2 linked regions of the Diceros bicornis minor genome follow. The protein of the gene in region 1 interacts with the protein of each later gene in a pairwise test. Links are inferred from orthologs where the notes say so. Each region holds a gene or a part of one and is shown in the gene's direction. Other genes may lie near its edges.

Evidence for each region.
Region 2: the proteins of IPCEF1 (region 1) and CYTH2 interact in binary tests that used the Homo sapiens proteins (3 or more experiments, as listed by UniProt). The link is inferred for Diceros bicornis minor from reciprocal best matches to the Homo sapiens genes IPCEF1 and CYTH2.

The regions. Positions count from the first base shown.
Region 1 is NC_080778.1:14,779,016-14,789,717, forward strand, and holds the start of IPCEF1 (interactor protein for cytohesin exchange factors 1), read left to right. Parts: upstream 1-5,431; 5' UTR 5,432-5,557; intron 5,558-10,702. UniProt on the Homo sapiens protein: Enhances the promotion of guanine-nucleotide exchange by PSCD2 on ARF6 in a concentration-dependent manner.
Region 2 is NC_080773.1:24,134,108-24,144,940, forward strand, and holds the start of CYTH2 (cytohesin-2), read left to right. Parts: upstream 1-6,466; 5' UTR 6,467-6,617; coding exon 6,618-6,636; intron 6,637-7,506; coding exon 7,507-7,654; intron 7,655-7,753; coding exon 7,754-7,820; intron 7,821-8,835; coding exon 8,836-8,954; intron 8,955-10,219; coding exon 10,220-10,300; intron 10,301-10,808; coding exon 10,809-10,833. Other genes in the region: KCNJ14 (ATP-sensitive inward rectifier potassium channel 14), read left to right, coding at 1-656, 2,366-2,962. UniProt on the Homo sapiens protein: Acts as a guanine-nucleotide exchange factor (GEF). Promotes guanine-nucleotide exchange on ARF1, ARF3 and ARF6. Activates ARF factors through replacement of GDP with GTP.

The DNA.
Region 1 (10,702 bases):
TGTGTATGGTTTCCCTTTAACTTTCTGACCCCTTCTTCTCCTCTGCTCTGGCCAAACCCACCTCCTTGCTGTTCTTTCAGTGTACCAGTCAGACTCTGGTGGCCTCAGGACTTTTGCATTTGCTGTTTCCACTGCCGGTCACACTTTCCTCAGTTGTCTGCTGGCTCACTTCACTTCCTTCAGATCATTACTCAGAGGTCACCTTCTCTGTGAGTCCTTCCCTGGCCACCTCACTTGATTTTTAGCCTAATTTTATGCCTAGATTCTCTATGTTTCTTATTCCACTTTATTTTTTTTCTTCCTTAGCCCTTATTACTACCTAACACATTAGATGTGACTTATCTCGTTTAGAGGGCACACCATCCTGATTGGAGCGAGAGAACAGAAGGCTCCTGAGGGCACGATGTTCCTTATTGTCCATTCCCTGTTGTGTCCCCAGCGCCAAGAACAGTGCTCCGAAATATTTGCTGAATCAATGAATTAGAACTCTAGCATGAAATTAAGGTCCTGCAGAACTTGAGAGGTTTTGCTCATTTGTCTTCTAACCTTCAACGCTACTTTCAGAGAAATCTGGACACTTTCAGTTCCTTGTCCCGTGGAAGTGACTTGTTTTCTCTATTTGGGAGATTTTAGGATTTTCTTTTTGTCTCTGGTGTTTGGGAATTTTATAGTAACTCAAAATTCTTCACTCTGGGCACTCAGTGGGAACTTTTAATCCAAATACTCATGGACTTTGCTTAAGGGAAATCTTTTATGTTATTTCTTTGATGAGGTCATTGAATATTTCCTGAAAGATTTACTTGAATTTATCATCCAAGCCTTCCATTAAAATCTTTCTTTGGCAAACATATTTATAATATCCAAGAGTTCTTTCTTGTTCTCAGAATATATATTTTTCTTAGCATCCTGTTCTTCTTTATGGATACAGTATCTTCAAGAATACCTGTAAGGATACTGATTGCAAGGCCATTTTTTCCCATTTCCTACAACATTTCGTAGTTGCCAAACAGGGAGATGATGTTATGACCCAGTACATACTGAGTGACGCTCTTACACCAGAATGTGGAGTTTTCACTCTGGAGTGCCCATATATGCATACGTTGACTGTATTCTCTGCACAATTTCAATATTTTTAGAGAAGAATCCTCCATAATATTGCTTGAGGTGGGGCTGAAATGGCTGCTTGCCATCGTTTGTGTTTGCTGTGTAAAGGCTGGAAGGATAGAGATATTTGAAAGAGGGGTAAGGGAGAGGGGCTAAGTTCTTTTTTTTTTTTTTTTTTTTAATGAGGAAGATCAGCCCTGAGCTAACATCGGATGCCAATCTTCCTCTTTTTGCCAAGAAAGATTGGCCCTGGGCTAACATCTGTGCCCATCTTCCTCCACTTTATATGGACGCCACCACAGCATGGCTTGACAAGCGGTGCGTCAGTGCGCGCCGGGATCTGGGCCTGTGAACCCAGGGCAGCTGAAGCGGAGTGCGCACTTAACCGCTGTGCCACCAGAGCCCCTCTCTGGGCCGGCCCCCAGAGAGGGGCCAGGTTCTTACAGACTTTCAATTAATCTTCCTATTTTCAGCTCCCTCACTGATTTAGATTTTCTAAGTTCTCCTGGCTTTTTGAGTCCTGATCCTCCCAGGAATTGTGCATCACAAATGGTCAGTTTCTCTACCGTAGTGTCCTTCTTGCTGATGGTAAGCTGTGGTTCCCCTGTCCTCCTTCATCCCGTCCTCTGTCATCCCATCTTCCAGAAATCTATTGAGGTCTCTCAAGCTCTAATCCTCTTCCTATTTTTTTTTTTGTTATTGTTGGTTTATATATTTTCTATAATTTTCCTATCATTTTAATGGAGGCTTGGGAGGGAGATAAAGGAGCAAAAAGAATCTGTGACCAGTCTATCTTGAACTGGAAGTCCAGCCACCTTGAGAATTATTCCACTTTGATAAATCAGGTGATCTCTTCTCATAGAATTTAGGTGGCCCTAATTCTGGCCCCATAACTGTAAATGACATGCCCTCTGGCGATGTCTTTGATAAGCCTGATGAGAAACATGTCTCTGCTATTGATGTCACTAAACACTTTTAATATCATCTAGTACTTTTGGATACTACCTAATGCAGAGAACTAGAGAACAGCTCGGTGTAGGGATAAGATGAGGCAGCACTTTCGAGAAACAGAAGTTCACGCAAACAAGAAGCCACTGAGAGAACTTTCATGGTATTCCCGGTCAAAATGTACAGCATCTTCTTTTAATCCTTTCACTCCTCCACAGATTTAATTTAATTTTTATCTTCTCATGAAATGAGTATAAAGAAAATGAGAGGAAGTCTGAGATCAGAGACTGAAGTAGTTTTCAAACTATTATTATCTATTCCCTAAAGGCAAAGTTTTTACCAAATAGTAACTGTGTTGTATATTCTCTCTTTCTCTGCTCCCCCAACAGCATTGTTTATTTTTAATACAGTTTTTATTGACATTTGGATTGGGCGGTATGGGGAATGTTGGGATGGATGCTACGTTTAATCTGTAAATTAAAAAAACTTCTGAAAAAGCAGAGACACAAAACATGCCATCCAGAGGATTTCCACTTTGCTTTTGAAAATGTTGCCTTTAATCTATTGCCAGTCAAGTCACACTGGTTTCTGTCAGCTGTTATCAGCATATCTTCAAATTAGGAAGGTCTCAAGTCAATTGAATTATTTACTTCTCTACCCGGAATGGCCCTTTTCTCCTTATCCCTAGTTGTTGCAGCTCAGGAAACAGATCTTCTATTTGTTCTGCTTTAAGCAGTTATGCTTACAAAGGAAAATGGAAAGAGAGATCTGCTTTTGTACTGTGTGGGGTTGCTGGGGGCTCCAGGCAATAAAGCCCTGCATGGTCATTCTTAGGAAGGAGCAGGTTCATTGAGCATCAAGAGAAGAAAGGCCGGGTGTCAGAAGTTCTGATCCTAAAGACATGAATGATTAAGGTGACTATATAAAACCTCTTCCAGGTCTGGACTTGCCTTGAGGCTTTCTCATGCTTGTGGATAGGTGAAAAATTATTCTTTTTATTGAAATGGCTTCAGCCACCTTCCAGATTCTAGGCTTGTTTTATAGTGTAGTTTAGGTTTTTACTTGTATGTTAATTTGTCTGTTTCTTGGAGATGGAATGACGAGGGTCATTAGGTTTTCAGGTCTGGACAGTGTGATCTTGGTAATGACTAGAGTGGGCTGCAAGTGCATACAAATGCGTGGATGAAAGTCTCAGATTTTCTTTTAGTGGTTTGACTATATTTATGATTTTATCCTTAGATGAATCTTCCCTTTTGTTAATATTTGGCTGGACAGGGGCAACTTGAGTTTGGATAAAAATGCATATGCTGCATCTAAACATGTAAGCCAGCCCCCTATTGTCCCCACCTCCTAGAATGCACATTTTGTGACATTCCCTCCTCTTGAGTGTAGGCTGGACCAAGTAACTCACTTCTAACAAAGAGAATATGGCAAAAGTGATGCGACATCATTTCTGAGAATAGGTTACAAAAGATTGTGACTTCTGTCTTGCTCATACTCTCTTTCTGTCAGGAGCTCAACTGAGCCGGGCAAGGAAAAGCTGAGCTGTCAGGTGTTGGAGTAGCTGATTAAAGCAAGAAGCCAAAAATGAAAGAGTTAAGCCTTTGGTCGCTTACTGTGAGGCCATGAGCAAGAGTCCACAGCTGGAGGAAGCGCCGGCTGCCCCTGTTCCATTTTCCCCGTGGAATGGTGCACTTGTGGAGGGGCACGTGGACCAGCACAGATGTGGGGATCATCTCACTGTTGAGGGAACGTCCAACAAAAGGCTCTGGCAGTTTTATGGACCCTGAGTTGTGTGTATGTGTGTGAGAGGGGGGCTAGGAATAAAACAGTACTGACCGAGTAGTGGGGAAAAGTGTCTTCAAGGTTTCTCCCTTGTCCCTTCATAAGGACGCCTCAGCAGAGGCACCTGAAGGGGACCTTGGCCCACGGTCTCAGATAAAGAGACCTAGTAATGAAGGCACTGGGGCTGGGAATGTAAATATGCAGAAGAGCATGGCTGACCAGGGCAGGGGCCCCTGAGACCTTGACTGCAACTCCCCTCAGAGGCTGTAGTGCAGTGGCTGTCACCAAGGCTGGTGTGGGGAAGGCGACTTTCCCCAGGGAAAGGCTTTGCCAGAGGAAAGCCTTTGTAATTACTGATGGGCAGGCCTGAAAGTTCACACAGAAGGTTTACCCAGGAGTGGACTCCTCAGTCTCATTCTCTTTGACTCTTGCTTTTTTGCCCTGATAAAGCCGGCTACCACATTGTGAGCTGCCCTAAGGAGAGACCCATGTGGTAAGGAACAGAGGGTGACTTCAGGTCAACAGCTAGCATTGAACTGAGATGCTCAGTCCCATAGTCCTTGAGAAACTGAAACCTACCAACAACTGCATGAGTGAGCTTGGAAGAGTTTCCTTTTCCAACAGAGGCTTGAGATGGCTGTAGTCCCGGCTGACCTGTTGACTGTAACACTGTGCGAGATCCTTAGCCACAGAACGCAGCTAAGCTGGGCCTAGATTCCTGACACACAGAAACTATGAGTTAATAGGTGTTTGTTGTTTTAAGCCTCTAAGTGTTGGAGGTAGTCTGCCATGTAGCCATAAATAACTAACACACATGCTAATGATCTAGTGACCACATTTTGGAAAACTGCATGGGTTGTGAGCCCATTTCTAATGATTTGTTTTGTTTTCTTTGAAAGTAGGATATAAGAATGGTGCAATTGTGTTGTTTTCCCAAGAAGGTATAAAGAAGCAAGATGCTGGTGTTGAAAAGGAGACATGGGAGGGCAGGAATTTATAGGTGATGAGTTCAAATATGTCTAACTTTCAGCCTGTCATTTTCCTTTTCTAGTGTGTGAAAGAAGTTTTGAAGCTGGAGAATCTATTATGTGTGCTGCAAAAGAATGGCAGGCTCAGACTTATTTTTATCCTAAAATACTTTTTACAAATTTATCTGCACCCTCTACTTAGTATAGTATTAGGAACTATCAGGAGAGGAGAAAAAAAGGGAAATTTGAAAGAAGATTGAACTTAAAAGATGTTGATGATAAAACAGTGGCGTCTCAACTAAACACACTGAGAACAGCTCTGTACATGATGTCACCCTCCAAGCCTGTAAATAAACATGTTTGCCTCCAAAACAGGAAAGCAAAACCATGTAGTGTTTCGTACACGTGTCCTGGAAATGAATACACTAGGTAGTGTTTAATGATCAGTGAGGTCGGACAGATGGAACGTGCCTGCTTTAGATGCATTGTGTCCTGGACTTTGGGATCAAGGAAGCGTTCAATAACAATAAGAAGGAAGAACAATAAAATTGGGGAAGTAGAGATGACACTTCCCCTTCTTTCGAAAGAGCCTTACTCTTTGCTCAGCTTCTAATGGTAGTCTTGCGTAGACTGAGCCTCCAGAGCTCTGACTGCTTAGAGTGGAATCCTCAACCTTTGCCTCAGAGTATTATGAGTTTTCTGAATTCAGGGATAAAGAGCCAGCTCTTGGATTTACTCTCTTTTCATTGCATGTAAGTAAAATCACTCCTTGGCTACCGTATGAGAAGTCATTGCTTGGCATATCAAGATGGGAAAGCAATTGATGCTCTAACCCTATCTTTAGAATAGTGAGTTCCAAGATGTGACTCTTGGGACATAATATTTCCTCAGCTCTTCGTAAACCTGCTGCTATGGTCCAGTGATAATGGCACTTTTTAATTCTGTTAGAGCTTTGAAGGAGAGAGTTGTGTTGTTCTCACTCTGCTTTTCTCAGTTTCTTAAATTGATGTTGTATTGATAGCTGCTTGGACTGCAGACCATGGGTTTGACTTAGAAAAGCACAATTCAGCCTTTGTTTGGGTCCTGAGAAGTTCACTTCGGGAAACACTCTGTGGCCATCCTCTTGTGAGAAAGTGTGTTCTTTGTGGAGCATCCCCTTTCGTATGTGAGCGGCTGGAGGGGATTTTACTCTTAGCTAAAAGTCACAGGCTGGACAAAATATCTCTCTATGAAAATGAGGATTTCGGTGATGTTGGTTCAGAGGTTTTTACCAAGGTCATCTGGGGCACTGGGTTTTCTTTGCTTGTGTATATTGTGAAAGAAATTTAATTGTAGGAGTCAGAGTTATAACTCACCAAGGCATCTTTGACTATATCAGTGGACTTTTTTAGTCTGTAGGGGGCTGTGTGTTTCTAGTACTGTCCTGGGCATTGTATAGTCATACACAGAGTCTGATTCCTCTACAGCTATTTGTTTTACACGGAAAATAGAAAGAACACGAGTTTCTTTCTGCTCACATCATGCAAATAAAGAGGAAAAGGACTTCAGTTTGTGTATTTGTTGATGTATTCACTCTTTAATTTATTTTTTAATTTCCTTTCTTTCCTCTCTTTCTTTATATCAAGGGTCTTTTCTGGAGAGGGTCCATGTATGAACTCTTGCAGGCAAGCTGTGTTAGGCAAATACACATCATCTGAGTACGGAAATAGGAAGTTCTTTCCTGCGGTAGTTCGCTGTGGCAATAAGAGATAAGAAATTACTTCATGACGATTGCCTGAGACTTTCCTTTTGACTCGCCTCTCCTTCTTGAACAGCTCACTTCTGCTTTCCATCCAGCTTGGAGGCTAGGCAGTGTGAGCTTGTAACCAAAGCACAGCTCGACCATTTGCAAGCAAGTTGAAGGTGGCAAATGATGTGTGTGAGCAAAAGAAATCGTAAAAACTAAGCTTTACGGTGTGGAAGGACATTCTGCAAATGAGGGAATTACTGTACTCCCAGCACTCAGAACAGTGCCTGCCCCATAGTACGCGCTGAGCAAATGTGTGTTGAATAATGAATGATCAGGATTGTTTATAAACTGAGTGTGGTAGTGTTGTCTTTGCTTTCTCTGTTACCCAGGTACTTAAGGAAATGCAGATTGGAGGAGGTCAGAGTCAAGCAGGAGAGGAGGAGAATATGAAGATGTGAAGAGAAGAAAGGGTGTGTAGAAAAGAGATGATAAGAAGCCCTAGGAGTGGCCATATGGTGCGACGATGGAGGAGGAGGAGGTTGTGAAGGTGCTAGAGGTGGATGTGGTGGTGTTCAGTTGGAGCTGGCAGTGAAGGTGATGGTGGAGGTGATGATGGTGGTGGTGGAGGAGGTGATGGTGAAGGTGGTCTTGGAAGTGGTAGTGATGGTGATGGTGGGGATGGTCTTGGAGGTGGTAGTGATGGTGATGGTGGGGATGGTACTGGAAGTGGTAGTGATGGTGATGGTGGTGATGGTATTGGAGGTGGTGGTGGAGGTGATGATGGTGGTGGTGGAGGAGGTGATGGTGAAGGTGGTCTTGGAGGTGGTAGTGATGGTGATGGTGGGGATGGTATTGGAGGTGGTGGTGGAGGTGATGATGGTGGTGGTGGAAGAGGTGATGGTGAAGGTGGTCTTGGAAGTGGTTATGGTGGAGGTGGTGGGGATGGTACTGGAAGTGGTAGTGATGGTGATGGTGGTGATGGTATTGGAGGTGGTGGTGGAGGTGATGATGGTGGTGGAGGAGGTGGTGGTGAAGGTGGTCTTGGAGGTGGTAGTGATGGTGATGATGGGGATGGTATTGGAGGTGGTGGTGGAGGTGATGATGGTGGTGGTGGAGAGGTGATGCTGAAGGTGGTCTTGGAGGTGGTAGTGATGGTGATGGTGGGGATGGTATTGGAGGTGGTGGTGGAGGTGATGATGGTGGTGGTGGAGGAGGTGATGGTGAAGGTGGTCTTGGAGGTGGTAGTGATGGTGATGGTGGGGATGGTATTGGAGGTGGTGGTGGAGGTGATGATGGTGGTGGTGGAGGAGGTGATGGTGAAGGTGGTCTTGGAGGTGGTAGTGATGGTGATGGTGGGGATGGTATTGGAGGTGGTGGTGGAGGTGATGATGGTGGTGGTGGAGGAGGTGATGGTGAAGGTGGTCTTGGAAGTGGTTATCGTGGAGGTGGTGGCAGAGGGAATGCTAGACCAGCTGGTGGAAGTGACAGTGGTGGCGGTGCTGGCTAAGGTGGTCTTGGAAGTAGTAGTGATGGTGATGGTGGTGATGGTATTGGAGGTGGTGGTGGAGGTGATGGTGGTGGTGGTGGAGGAGGTGATGGTGAAGGTGGTCTTGGAGGTGGTAGTGATGGTGATGATGGGGATGGTATTGGAGGTGGTGGTGGAGGTGATGATGGTGGTGGTGGAGGAGGTGATGGTGAAGGTGGTCTTGGAGGTGGTAGTGATGGTGATGGTGGGGGTGGTGTTGGAGGTGGTGGTGGAGGTAGTGGTGGGGATGGTATTGGAGGTGGTGATGGAGGTGATGGTGGTGGTGGTGGAGGAGGTGATGGTGCAGGTGGTCTTGGAGGTGGTAGTGATGGTGATGGTGGGGGTGGTGTTGGAGGTGGTGGTGGAGGTGGTGGCAGAGAAGATGGTAGAGGAGGTGGTGCTAGTGGTGGTGATAGAGGTAGTGGTGGTGGAGGTGATGATGGGAAAGGCAATGTGATATAGCAAGGAGGAAACATAGTTTTAGGGTCAGACACATCTATTAAAAATCTGTATCTACCACTTACCAGCTCTATGATCTCTGAACCTGTGGAGTGGTGCTCGTAACAGACTGAACATTTTGGGTTGTTGTGTGAGGATTAGAAATGTGATTGCACAGTGCCTGCCACATCATGGATCTTCACCAAATGGCTGTTATCAATATATTTTCTTCAGCTTTCAAATCACCACGGTCACACTTATAAATTTAACCACCAATTTAGCTTTTTTCTTTGTACTTTTTTGTATTTTCTAAATTTCATAAAATGATCAGGATTCTTTTTAAGAATAGTTTATTAAAAATAAATGTTATAAGCTTCGTTATCAGGATGGTTAAACACATGGTGGTATATCTATATAAAGAAATATCATCAATAAAATGATATTTATGGAAATATTGTCATGATTTAATGCTTAGTCAAAAAAGAAGAAACACAACTTTTTCAACTATGTAAAAATGTTGCAGAGAAGCAAGATTGAGGTAAATTATGAATAGTGGGTTTACAGCTGATGGTTATATTTGTCTTTGCACTTTTCATTTTTCTCCCCAATTTTTCACTAGTGGAGCATATCTGGACTAATTTAGTAATCTGAAAACAAAATAAATGTTGAATGAAAATAAATGAACAGAAACTTAACCTTCTTTTAATTTCCCACCAAAATAAAGCAAAAGTATTTTTTTTTTTTTTTGCTGAGGATGATTTGCCCTGAGCTAATACCCATGCCAATCCTCCTCTATGATTTTGTATGGGGGACACCTTCACAGCATGGCTAATGAGTGGAGTAGGTCTGCACCCGGGATCCAGGCCCATGAACCTGGGCCGGCAAAGTGGAGCGAGGGGAACTTTAACCACTTGGCCATGGGCCGGGCCCAGCAAAAGTATTTTTTTAGTTGTAGTGTTCTAAGCTTTGTGGTTCATTGCAATCTAAGAAATGATGCAGTTTATGTTATTTCACCTTTGTAGGGGTATCCCCTTTGAGATTAGGACTGGTACAGAATCACGTAACAGCTCTAAAGTGAGAACGAGCAAACGAGGTCCCATCTGGGACTGACTGGTCTAATTAGTTCCTAGTATCACATGAAAATGGGTTATTTTCTGTGGATGATTTATAATGGTCTCTAAACCTGAATTGAATGATTATCTAGCAATTCAATAGTTAATAACTTTAAATTAAATTTAGATTTCCCAGCATAAGAGTAATTAATTTTTTTAGGGAATGTTACCATATCTTTATCATCTTGGTATACGTGGAGAGGTCAAAAAAACATTTTTGTGAAGTCAAGAAATAATTTCTGTTGTTAGGATCTTGCTCCTTCCGTCTCACAATGCCAGCTTATTAGTTTGGAGGAGTCCCTTATCAGAGACTTAACTGAGATCAAATATTTTGGCTTGTAGGTATTGGAATGAATCGCCTGTCTTTGTCTTAGAAATGATCAGGTGAGAGAGAGTTGGCAGACTAAGAGGCAAAAAGACGAACAAATGTGAGCAAAGACAGGCCTCCCAATCTGACACAGGTGTCGAAATAGTAGTTGAAAGGTGAAAAGTTAGGCAGTTTAAACTTACCTTAAAATTACTAGAATGTGGATGAACGCTTTCAAAAAAATCTGAATAAAAAATGACCAGATGATGTACACCTGAAATTTATACAATGTTATAAACCAATGTTACTGCAATAAATAAGAAATTAAAGAAAAAAAAGACCAGATAGTCAGTGAAAATTAGTCAAGGTTAGAAATGAAAGAATTAATGAAACAGACAACAAACCCTATTCCCCAGGGTGAAAACCAAATAACTCAGCATGCAACATGAATTGAACTAGAAACAGCAGCCCAGTAGACTTTTGAATAGATGGTCCATTGCGTTTTCTGAACATTGCACGGTGGAACACTGAATAAAAACGAATATTACCAAACACTTGCTATGTCCCAAGCATGTAATCAGCACTTGCATTTTTTACATGACCAATTTCAGTCATTTCTCAAAAATAATCCTGGGAAACAGCACTGTCGTTATCTCTATGGAGCTGAAGCTTCGAGAGGTAAAGTACCTTGTCTAAAACCACTTTGCTAGGCAGGGGCAGGGACTGGATTCAAACCCAGATCTTTGTGTGTCTCTGAGCCTGTGCCCTAACTACTATACTATACGA
Region 2 (10,833 bases), on another chromosome or scaffold:
CAGGAGAGAGCCGGGCGGTCGATGAGGAGGAGGCCGGGCCGGGGCTGTGCCATAACGGGTGGGCGCCGCAGCCGGTGGGACGCCGGCGGGGGCGCTTCGTCAAGAAGGACGGGCACTGCAACGTGCGCTTCGTGAACCTGGGCGGCCAGGGCGCGCGCTATCTCAGCGATCTGTTCACCACGTGCGTGGACGTGCGCTGGCGCTGGATGTGCCTGCTCTTCTCCTGCTCCTTCCTCGCCTCCTGGCTGCTCTTCGGCCTGGCCTTCTGGCTCATCGCCTCGCTGCACGGCGACCTGGCCGCCCCGCCGCCGCCCGCGCCCTGCTTCTCGCAGGTGGCCAGCTTCCTGGCCGCCTTCCTCTTCGCGCTGGAGACGCAGACGTCCATCGGCTACGGCGTGCGCAGCGTCACCGAGGAGTGCCCGGCCGCCGTGGCCGCCGTGGTGCTGCAGTGCATCGCCGGCTGCGTGCTCGACGCCTTCGTCGTGGGCGCCGTCATGGCCAAGATGGCCAAGCCCAAGAAGCGCAACGAGACGCTCGTCTTCAGCGAGAACGCCGTCGTGGCGCTGCGCGACCGCCGCCTCTGCCTCATGTGGCGCGTGGGCAACCTGCGCCGCAGCCACCTCGTCGAGGCCCACGTGCGTGCCCAGCTGCTGCAGGTGCGGGTCGCCGGGGTGGAGGACCGCGGCCCCGGGAGGCAGGGCGGGGCCCTTCGTGGCGCTGGCGGGAGCCCTGGGGGGTTGTGGGAGATGTAGGCCTGAGGGCGAGGTGTGCGTGGGACCTGGAGGGTGCGTGGACTACAATTCCCAGCAGTCTCTTGGGCAGGGGCCCTCCCGCCCCGCTTCTGGACAGAGGCTGGTTGGGGGAGCAGTTGTAGGAGATGTAAACCAAAGAGAGAAGTCTGTGACCTCTTCATTTCTTCTTGGAGGCCTAGACTTGAAACAGATCTGGAGACATAAAGAGCTTCCTGTGGCTTGAGGATCGGCCCTCTATGGGATTGTGGGAAATCTAGACCTGAGAGGGCCACACCTGGGCTGTAAAGGCTCCGAACTACAATTCCCAGAAGCCTCTGGGGGCAGAGACAGTGCCCAGATGGGGTGGTCTGAGGAGATGATGTAGGTTTGGGGGTGGTGTAAACCACGGCTCAGATTTACGATTCTCAGCTGACACTGTGGTACAGAGAATGGACTATGACTTGAGGCAGGCCCCTATGGGATTGTGGGAGATGTAGGCTCGAAGATGGGTGCAGCTCGCACCTGCAGAAACGTGAACACAATTCTGCATGACCTCTGGGCATGGGGGTCCTGCAGCATTTGTGGGAGACTTCATTCGCTACCTCAGTGGCCCAGTCTCTCCCACCAGGGTCTTGCTTGGAGGAGTACAGGGCAGGGGTTGGGAAATTCTTGAATTTTAACTTCTGAGCAAAAAGCAAAAAACAACTACGAGGGCTGGCCCCGTGGCTTAGCGGTTAAGTGCGCGCACTCCGATGCTGGCGGCCCGGGTTCGGATCCCCGGCGCGCACTGACGCACCGCTTCTCTGGCCACGCTGAGGCTGTGTCCCACATACAGCAACTAGAAGGATGTGCAACTATGACATACAACTATCTAGTGGGGCTTTGGGGGAAAAATAAATAAATAAAATTATTAAAAAAAAAAAAAAAAAAACAACTACAACTCCCCTTGGCCCCTTGAGTAACGGCGCCCTGAAGAAGGCAACTTAGTGTTTCTAGAATTGTGGTCAAACTACGCAAACAAATTCTGAGGCAGTAGCTGCCCTCGCCCAAGGAAAGACACTTAACAACCCTGAGCTGAGGTTGGACGTGGGTGAGAGGGAGGATGGGGCGGTGGTGGGAACTACAACTCCCAGCAGCGCCTGCGGGCTCCCGGAGACAGTTGCAAAAGAATGGGTCCCGTCCCGTCCCGCCCCCCGCCCCGACCCCCTAGTCGCCTGCTTGACTGTTAGAGACACCAGGAGGGATACTGCCTCTCCCAGAAGTCTGTGGGACTGGTCCAATTGCTGGTTGGATGTCCTTCTCTTCTGTTGCCTCTTTAATTTCGTCTCTGACTTGCTGATTTCTGTGGCTCTTTGCCAATATCACTCTGTCCTTCTCTCTTTATCTCTGAGCCTCCATCCTCCCCTCCCTGGGGCTCTGTCTCCCTCTCTCGGTCTCTGTCCCTTTCCCCATGTCTCTGTCCTCCTCTCTGTCTGGGTCACCATCCCCCTCTCTCTGGCTCCATGTTCTCACCCCACCCCGACCCTTGCCGGTCGCTGCCCTCCTCTTTCTCTATATCATTCCTTTCTCTCCCTGTCTCTGTTCATCTCTGTGCTCCCTGCTGTCTATCTTTGGCCCCTCACTTTTCGCTGCAGCCTCGCGTGACCCCAGAGGGTGAGTACATCCCGCTGGACCACCAGGATGTGGACGTGGGCTTTGATGGTGGCACCGATCGCATCTTCCTCGTGTCTCCCATCACCATCGTGCACGAGATCGACTCTGCCAGTCCTCTGTATGAACTAGGACGTGCCGAGCTAGCCCGGGCCGACTTTGAGCTGGTGGTCATTCTCGAGGGCATGGTTGAGGCCACGGCTATGACCACACAGTGTCGCTCTTCCTACCTTCCTGGTGAGCTGCTCTGGGGCCATCGTTTTGAGCCAGTCCTCTTCCAGCGTGGCTCCCAGTATGAGGTCGACTATCGCCACTTCCATCGCACTTACGAGGTCCCAGGGACACCGGTCTGCAGCGCCAAGGAGCTGGATGAACGGGCAGAGCAGGCTTCCCACAGCCCCAAGTCTAGCTTCCCTGGCTCTCTGGCTGCATTTTGTTATGAGAATGAACTTGCTCTGAGCTGCTGCCAGGAGGAAGAGGAGGAAGAGGAAACCAAGGAGGGGGATGGGGCAGAGGCAGAAGATGAGGCTGCCAGCCCCCGAGTACTCACACCAACCCTGGCGCTGACCCTGCCCCCGTGATGTGAGCTGGTGTCTCCCTATTTGTACTCCCTTCCCAGAGGTAGCAAGATGGAGAGATTTGGCCCTCTCCTGGGATGGGGGCAGGTATTTCCCAAGACCAACAGGCCTGCTGGATAAATTATTAGCTGGTGAAGCTCTGCCATGCCTAGTGGACCCACCACAGACATACTGGACCTTAATTCCTCTGCATTCCATGCTCCCTCTTGAGACCCCTTTGTCAGCCCGATTCCTGAGCCTCACCAGAGCTGAGGGATCCAGAATTCTGGACCACCCGAGAGGCAAGGACCGGTGGTTCCAGATTCCTCTATACGGCTGACTTGGGTTGTTGAGCAGGGTCAGGAATCAATGGTATAGACTGTCTCTGGGAGAGGAAGTTGGCAGTTCTTGAGCAGCAATAGAGATCAAGAGTTTGTAGCTCTGGATTGACCAAAGATTCAAGGGACTGTTGCTTCTAGACTCAGCCAACCAAGTAGCAAATCATTTTTTCTACACCACCTAAGGAGGGAAAGTTATGGAATGCCCCAAGAATTCAAGACTATCTTGATTGACCAATGACAAGGAATGTTGACTGCAAGTCAACAAAAGACCTTGTGGTTCCAGAAAGCCCCAAAGTTGAGATTCTGTGAATCTAGATTGACCACAGAGACAAGCAGTGGTAATTCTAGAACAGGTTTGACCTAGGGAGTTGAACTACTCCAGAAACTAGACTTATGTTTCTAGAATGCACAAAACAATAGTGAGTCTGTGGGTCTAGAAGGACTACAGTGACAGACTGGGAGTTCTTGATATTAGATAACTCCAGACCACTGGCTGTAGAACATCGAAGCGAGGGGATAATCAATGCTTCTAAATGATCCACAGGTTTTTTTTTTTTAAGTGCCATTCTAGAATGTCCAAAGGAATCAGGATTCTGTGGCTCTAGATTGATCATAGAGTCAAAGAAGGAGTGGTGATCCTAGATATGTCTGAGATTGGCTGGTTCCAGTTTGCCCAGTGGAGTTGAGAATCTTGATGATTCCACATGACTTCTTTGTGGTTCTGTAATGCCAAAGGAATCAAGGCTCCAGGGATCCAGAGTTGTCCATTATCAAAACCTGGAAGTTCTAATCAGCTCCTAGAACTTGGCAGTTCTAGGAGGTGGACTCAGGACTCGATAGGCAGCATTTCTGGGCTGACCTAGAAGGTGTGGGTAACAGGGCTACTTATTGGGCAAGGGAAGGGAGAGGCCCAAGGCTGGTGAGTCTGCAATCCTCTGGAATTCTACACCTAGCAATGTGTGTCTATTTCTTAAAGATGTTATACATACATGTATTATACATATATAATATAAATACAGATATCTATCTATTTTTTCCCGTGGTTCCTACAGAAGGGTTAGAAATTGAGCTTGAGCTAATTGGAATAAGATCCTTTACAAGGATCCAGGAAGCTTTGCTCTAAATCCCAACTCTGTTCTAACTTACTGTGTGACTTTGGGCACATCACTCCCCTCGCTTTGCCTCAGTTTCCCCATCTGTACAAATGGGGCATTGGAACTTGAAGGTCTCCAAGGGCCTTTCCACCAGGATGATTCCCCACTTCACTGAGGGTGAGGGTCCTGGGATTCTCCAGATCTCGCTGATGCTGGAAAGCTCGGCTTTCGAGGGGCAACTGGGATGGGAGATGATCTTGGAGGCCAGCTCTGAACCTGGGTGTCTGAATCACAGGCAGGCTAGGGGTAGTATGGGCTGTGGCTAAGGGCCAGAATCACGGCCTTCCTGGTCCAGCTTGGGGGTCAGGGGAAAGAGCAGGTAGCTCTGAATGCCAGGGGAAAGGTTGTGTTTAGGGATTAAATCACTGGGAGCCCTGGTGGTGTGTCTGTGAGTGTGTTTCTGGGGCACGGGTCCATGCTGCCATCCACCTAAGTGCCCAGCAGACTGGGAGCCAGCCGCAGAAGGAGCCAGTGCCAGGGGGAGGACATGTTCCCATCTCTGTGTCCCAAGACTGAGGGCAGGCACCGTCATTGCCCATTAGCCTAAGTGCTGCATCACGCCAGGTCCCTCCTTCTGGCTTCCATCTCCCTTTATCCTTCAGAATCCCCACGTAATCACCGGATGGGATTAATTAGCTGCTGCTCTCCCAGCTCAGGGTGTCCAGGGTAGGGACTGGGGGCAGTGGAACCACAGGGGTGGAGGAGGATGTTAAGTTGGGGATGAAGGGGCAGGAAAAGGGTTCTGTTTGGAAGGAGGGAGAGTGGGGGCACGGCGGGCACAGGCTGGGCTTCCACCGGGGAGGGCAGAGCCTGGGCCACTCATAAAGGTCAGTGAGGGGATTAGGAGGCTCCCTGTCTAATCTGTCAGCTTAACCAGGTCCCAGCCCCGAATCCGTCCCCACCTGCGAGCCCAGGGACGGCGACTGAGGACGAGGCCCAGACACCACCTCAGACCCAATTAGGGACCTGCCCGTGACAGGGGTGCCCAGGTTCTCCATCGCAGCCGAGCCCCTGCACCCGCTTTGCCTGCAAGGAATGGGAATGAGAGGCTGGAGAGGGGGAAGGGCCTCAGATGCGGGAGGCCTCCGAGAGGAGGGAGGAGTTTATGAAGAGCGAGAGTATGAGAGGTGGGGGAGTGAAGTGGGGCGAGTCGGAGAGGAGGGAAAAGACTCTGAGAAGGGGGAAGGAATCAGAGGTGGGAGGCTGCTGAGGAAAAGGGAGTTGTCCTTGGGGGATGCTAAGGTTAGGGGAGGAGTTTGGGGGAGAGGGAGGAGCCTGAGAGGCAGACGGCGCCAGGAAGTCGGAGCCTGTGCTTTCACTATATTTGGCCTTCTACCGTCCCATTCTCCATGACAGACGCCAAAGAGCATAGCATTTGGGAGAAAGAATAAGTCTTTTGTTTCACCACTCCTTGACTCCGAAGAGGCTAAGGTGGATGGGATCAGGGGACGGGGTAACAAAAGGGTCTGAATAACAGAGGGGCCAGTGCCAGGAGGAAGGAGGCCAAAAGAAAGGTGAGCCAAAGCTGCTCCCGGTTGCGTGGCAACCGCTGCGGTCAAAAGCCAGCTGGGCCTGCTAGGAGGTGTGGCTCACGGAAACAACCGGCTGTTGTGGTCCCGCCCCCTGGCAACAAGACTAACAAAGTACCGCCCCCCAGCAACGTATTGCTAGAGGTGGGGCTCGGTTCAATTAGTATCCTAGAGCTCGGAGCCCTTGCGCAGGCGCAGTCCTCTCTGCTGCCGCATATGTCTCTCCATGCCATTCTTTTCCAAGGCTTCTCATTGGCGGGCAAGCCAGCCAAGTGCCTTCTTTTGTTTCGGAGGCGGGGCCTGGCGTTCTGCCCGCGCTCCGATTGGCCCCACAGACCGTCTACCTCCGGCCGGACTTTGCTACGTCTGCTCCTTGCGCGCCTATTGGCCCTGGAGGACGATCCTTCAGCGTCGGGGGCGGAGCAGACGAGAGGGCCCGCCGTGGATTGGACGGTGTCAAAACGAGGGGCGGTCCCGACTGGCGGGGCGGTCGGGAGGCGAAGGGAGAGTCTTTTCAGCGCTGAGGACTGGCGCTGAGGAGGCGGCGGTGGCTCCCGGGGCGTTTGAGCGGGCTCACCCGAGCCCGCGGGCCAACGCGGATCCAGGCCCGACCGGCGGGACCGCCCCGGACTCCCCGCGGGCCTTCCTAGCCGCCATGGAGGACGGTGTCTATGGTAGGTCGCGGAGGGGCGGGGCCGGCTGGGAGCGGATGGAGCGTTCCGTCCCGAACGTTCCGCCGCGAACGTGCCTCCCGGCGCGCGCGGCGTGGCGTCTCTCGGCCCCGTCGTCGCGTCGCCTTTGTGGGGCGCGGGACGGGCTTCCGGCGGGGCCCGAGAGCGGGGCGTTCCAGGCCATTGTTTGGGCCGAGCCTGTTTCCGGTGGCGGCGGGAGGGGGCGGGATGGAGCGGCGGAGGCGAGGCCGGGGCGGACCCATTCCCGCTGGAGGGGCCGGGCGAGCCCGGGGCCTGCCGGGAGCGGGGAGGGGGGTTCGGGGGGCGGGGAGAAATCTTGGGGGCTGCAGAGATCCCGCTGAGGCGGGGGCCGTCGATGCCCCGCCCCCTTCCCCAATTCTTCCAAGCTGTCACCCGCTTTTCCTGCCGTAGTTACTTTTCCTGGTCCCGGGAGTCAGGACACCCCGGCCCCCAGCCACCTCGCCGGGAATGGAGGCAGAAAACCCGGGCCTCAGTCCCCTTCCAAGTAATGGACCAAGCAGTTCGGGCTTCCAGCCCTTTCTCTCCCCGGACCTAAGAGTTCAGGCTCCCAGTCCCCTTCTCCCTTAGACTGAGGAGTCCGGATCCCAAGCCCCCTCCTCTCCCAGCCCAGGACTCAAGAGGCTAGATCCCAGCCCTTCCTCCCCTGGACTGAGGAATCCAGGCCCCCAGCCCCCTTTTCCAGCAGACATAGGAGGCCCGACCCTCATCCTCATCTTCCCCCTGAATCTAGGAGTCCTGTCCCCCTCCCCCAGCTGTGGCCTCCCCACATTGCAGGATGCCAGGCTCCCAGTCCCGCAAAACTGACCTCCAACCCCTGATCCCGCCCCCCAGAGCCCCCAGACCTGACTCCGGAGGAGCGGATGGAGCTGGAGAACATCCGGCGGCGGAAGCAGGAGCTGCTGGTGGAGATCCAGCGCCTGCGGGAGGAGCTCAGCGAAGCCATGAGCGAAGTGGAGGGTCTGGAGGCCAATGAGGGCAGGTGAGGGCTGGGGCAGGGAACTTGGGGGTCATGGGACCTGGCTGGGGCTGGGGATGCCCAGGCATTGACCTTCCGTCCCCCGGCTCTCTGCCCCTGCAGTAAGACCTTGCAACGGAACCGGAAGATGGCAATGGGCAGAAAAAAGTTCAACATGGACCCCAAAAAGGTGCTTGGGGCACAGGGCTGGGGTGAGCCATGCAGACATCCAGACAGGAGGTTCTGGCATCTTCAGGTTCCAGAAGTGTGATAGTTAAAGATTTACATTAGGTAGACAGACTTGGTTCTAATCCCTGGGTTCAGATAGTGGCTGTCTGTTTGTTCTCAGGACACTAACCTTTGCCTGTGCTGTGTCCTCTGCCTGGGGGAGTCCTCTTCCCCTTTGTATTCATATTCCTGGACCCACTTCTGGTGTCACTTAGAGCCCCAGGAGGAGCTTGAGTCTGGTAGGGAACATAGACAGTGACACGCCCTAAAGGTTGACAAGTGCCAGGACAGAGGGAGGTCCTGGGGGCTGTGGACACTCAGAGGAGGGAGCCTGGTGGAGTCAGGGAGGGCTTCCCCGAGGAGGGGACATTCAGGTCAGGTTTGAAGGATGAGTCAGTGTTCACCAGGTGGAGGAAAGATGTTTGTGCATTCAGTCATTCATTTACACCCATTTCCTAAGGCTTCCTCTGGGCCTGTCCCTCTGCTGGGGAATGCTGGGGACCCAGAGAAGAGTTTGACCCTACCTTGCCCTCAGGGAGCCCCTAGACACAGATACCACAATCCAGAGTGAGAGAGAGCTATGATGGAGGTCCTCATGGCATAGGGAGAGCCAGAGAAGACCCTGGTCCAGCCCGAGGCTTGGCCCTCACAGCCCTTGATGGACTGCTGTCTGCTGACAGTTTCTCACTTCATGCTTCTTGCCTGAAGCAATTGTATTTTGTTCAGTCATTCAGCAAACAAGAGTTCTTGTTCCTGCTCTCGGTGTTGGAATTAACCAGGCAAAGGCAGAGGGAACAGTAGGAGCAAAGGCTCTGAGGTGGGAGAAATAGTATGTAAGGACCTGTGAGAAGCCTGAAAATGAAGCCTGGCCCTGCTTTGTTGGGGATGGGGTTGGGTTGGGCTGCCAAGGTTTCCGAGGAGGTGGTGGGAAATGCCCCTCTAGCTCTCAGCACTGAGACCTGGCTCCCACCTACCAGGGGATCCAGTTCTTGGTGGAGAATGAACTTCTGCAGAACACACCCGAGGAGATCGCCCGCTTCCTGTACAAAGGCGAGGGCCTGAATAAGACGGCCATCGGGGACTACCTGGGGGAGAGGTGAGACACCCCCCCCCCCGCAGCTCTTCTGGGCCTCTCCCCATGGCCCCCTGCACCCAGCTCCTGCCCTCACACTGCCAGCTCCTCTCCCAAGGAGAGGCCCTGATAGACCAGCTTTCCGACTGGACTATGACAGGATGGAGTGACACAGGGGTCCAGGGGAGCCTGGCCCCATCTGTGAGCATCGTGGGGAGCTTTGTGGACATCTAGGAATTGTAGGGACCATCCATGTAGGTCTGGGGACAGTGGAGAACATCTGAGTGTCATGAGAGCATGAGAAGCATGTGTAGACAACTGGTGTGCATGGGAACTGTGTGGCCAGCTAGGAAGTGTGGGGACCTTCAGTGGATATCCAGGGAGCACGGGGACCCGGAGGACATCTGGGAGCATGAGGACCATCTGTGGACGTCTGGGGTGTGGGTACCATCTAGAAGTCTATGAGACTGGACATGAGGAGTGTATGGGGACCATCTGTGGATGTCTGGGACACGTGGGGCTTTATGGACATCAGGAGTGCATGGATATCGGGAATGTGGGGACTGTCTGGACACCTAAGATGCACGGGGACCTTCTGTGACATCTGGGAAACCTGAGGATAATCTGTGAGCATCTGGGGTGCGTGGAGACCGACTGGACATCTGAGGTGCACAGGACCATCTGTGGATGTCTGGAGTGCTTAGGGATTGGGTGGACATCTAGGGTGTGTGGAACTTTCTGGACATCTGAGGTGCATGGGGACCATCAATGGACATCTGGGGGGCATGGAGACTGGGGATGTGGGGACTGTAGATGTCTAGGAACCATCTGTGGGCATCTGGGGTATGTGGGGGCCATCTGTAGATGTCTGGGGATCATCTGTGACGTCTGGGGTGTGTGGAGACCGTCTATGGCCATCTGGCATTGTGGGGATTGTTTTGTGGGCATCTAGGGGGGTGAGGGCCATCTGCAGACATCTGTGGAACCTGGGGGTCACCTGAGACGGGTGACAGTAGGCGGAGCACACGTTTGCTGCGTGTCTCCCAGCTGTACAAAGGTCCAGCCAAACCATGGTTCTCGAGGCAGATGGTCCTCTCAAGAGCGTGTTCTCAGTATCCCTGCCCGTGTGCCAGGCCTGTGATGGGGTCCACGTCCAAACTTCAGCTGCTACAGAGGCAGCTGCCGTGCAGAAGAGGTGGCTCAGCCTCCCCCGTGCTTTGCCTCCTGTCCACTCTCACTCCACCCTCCCCAGACTTTTCCTGAGCATGACTTTGTCCCTGTCCTCCCAGGGAAGAGCTGAACCTGGCAGTGCTCCACGCCTTTGTGGATCTGCATGAATTCACTGACCTCAATCTGGTGCAGGCCCTCAGGTGAGAGGGACAGGGTTGGAAGGGCAGGACTGTACCCGTCAGGGCTTTCTTTACAAGTGATGACACCTACTCAAGACAAAAACAGAAAGAAAAATTAGGGAATTGATTGCCTCGTGCAATGCAAAATTCCATGGTAGGGCCTTCTTCAGGCATAGATGTATCCAGGTGCTCAAATGGTGTCAGAAGGTCAACTTTGTCTCTTGGTTGTGCTCGCCACTGTGTTGGCATTGCTCTCTGCAGACTCTCCTGCCACGTGATAACAGAAGCCCCTAGCAACCATCAGATCTGTTTAGCAACCTTAGTAGAAGGAAAGGCTTTTTCTGTATAAGTACACCAAAAGTCCCATGGCCAATGCTCATTGGTCAGGTTGGATCATGTGTCCATACTTGAAACAGCTGCCGAGGCCACAAGGTCTGGAGCTCTCATTGCCACTCCCTGACACAGGGACTGAGAGTGGGAGGGGCTTCCGCCAGTCCTGGTATCCACACTCGGCCCCTCTCTAACCCAGACAATTTCTATGGAGCTTCCGCCTC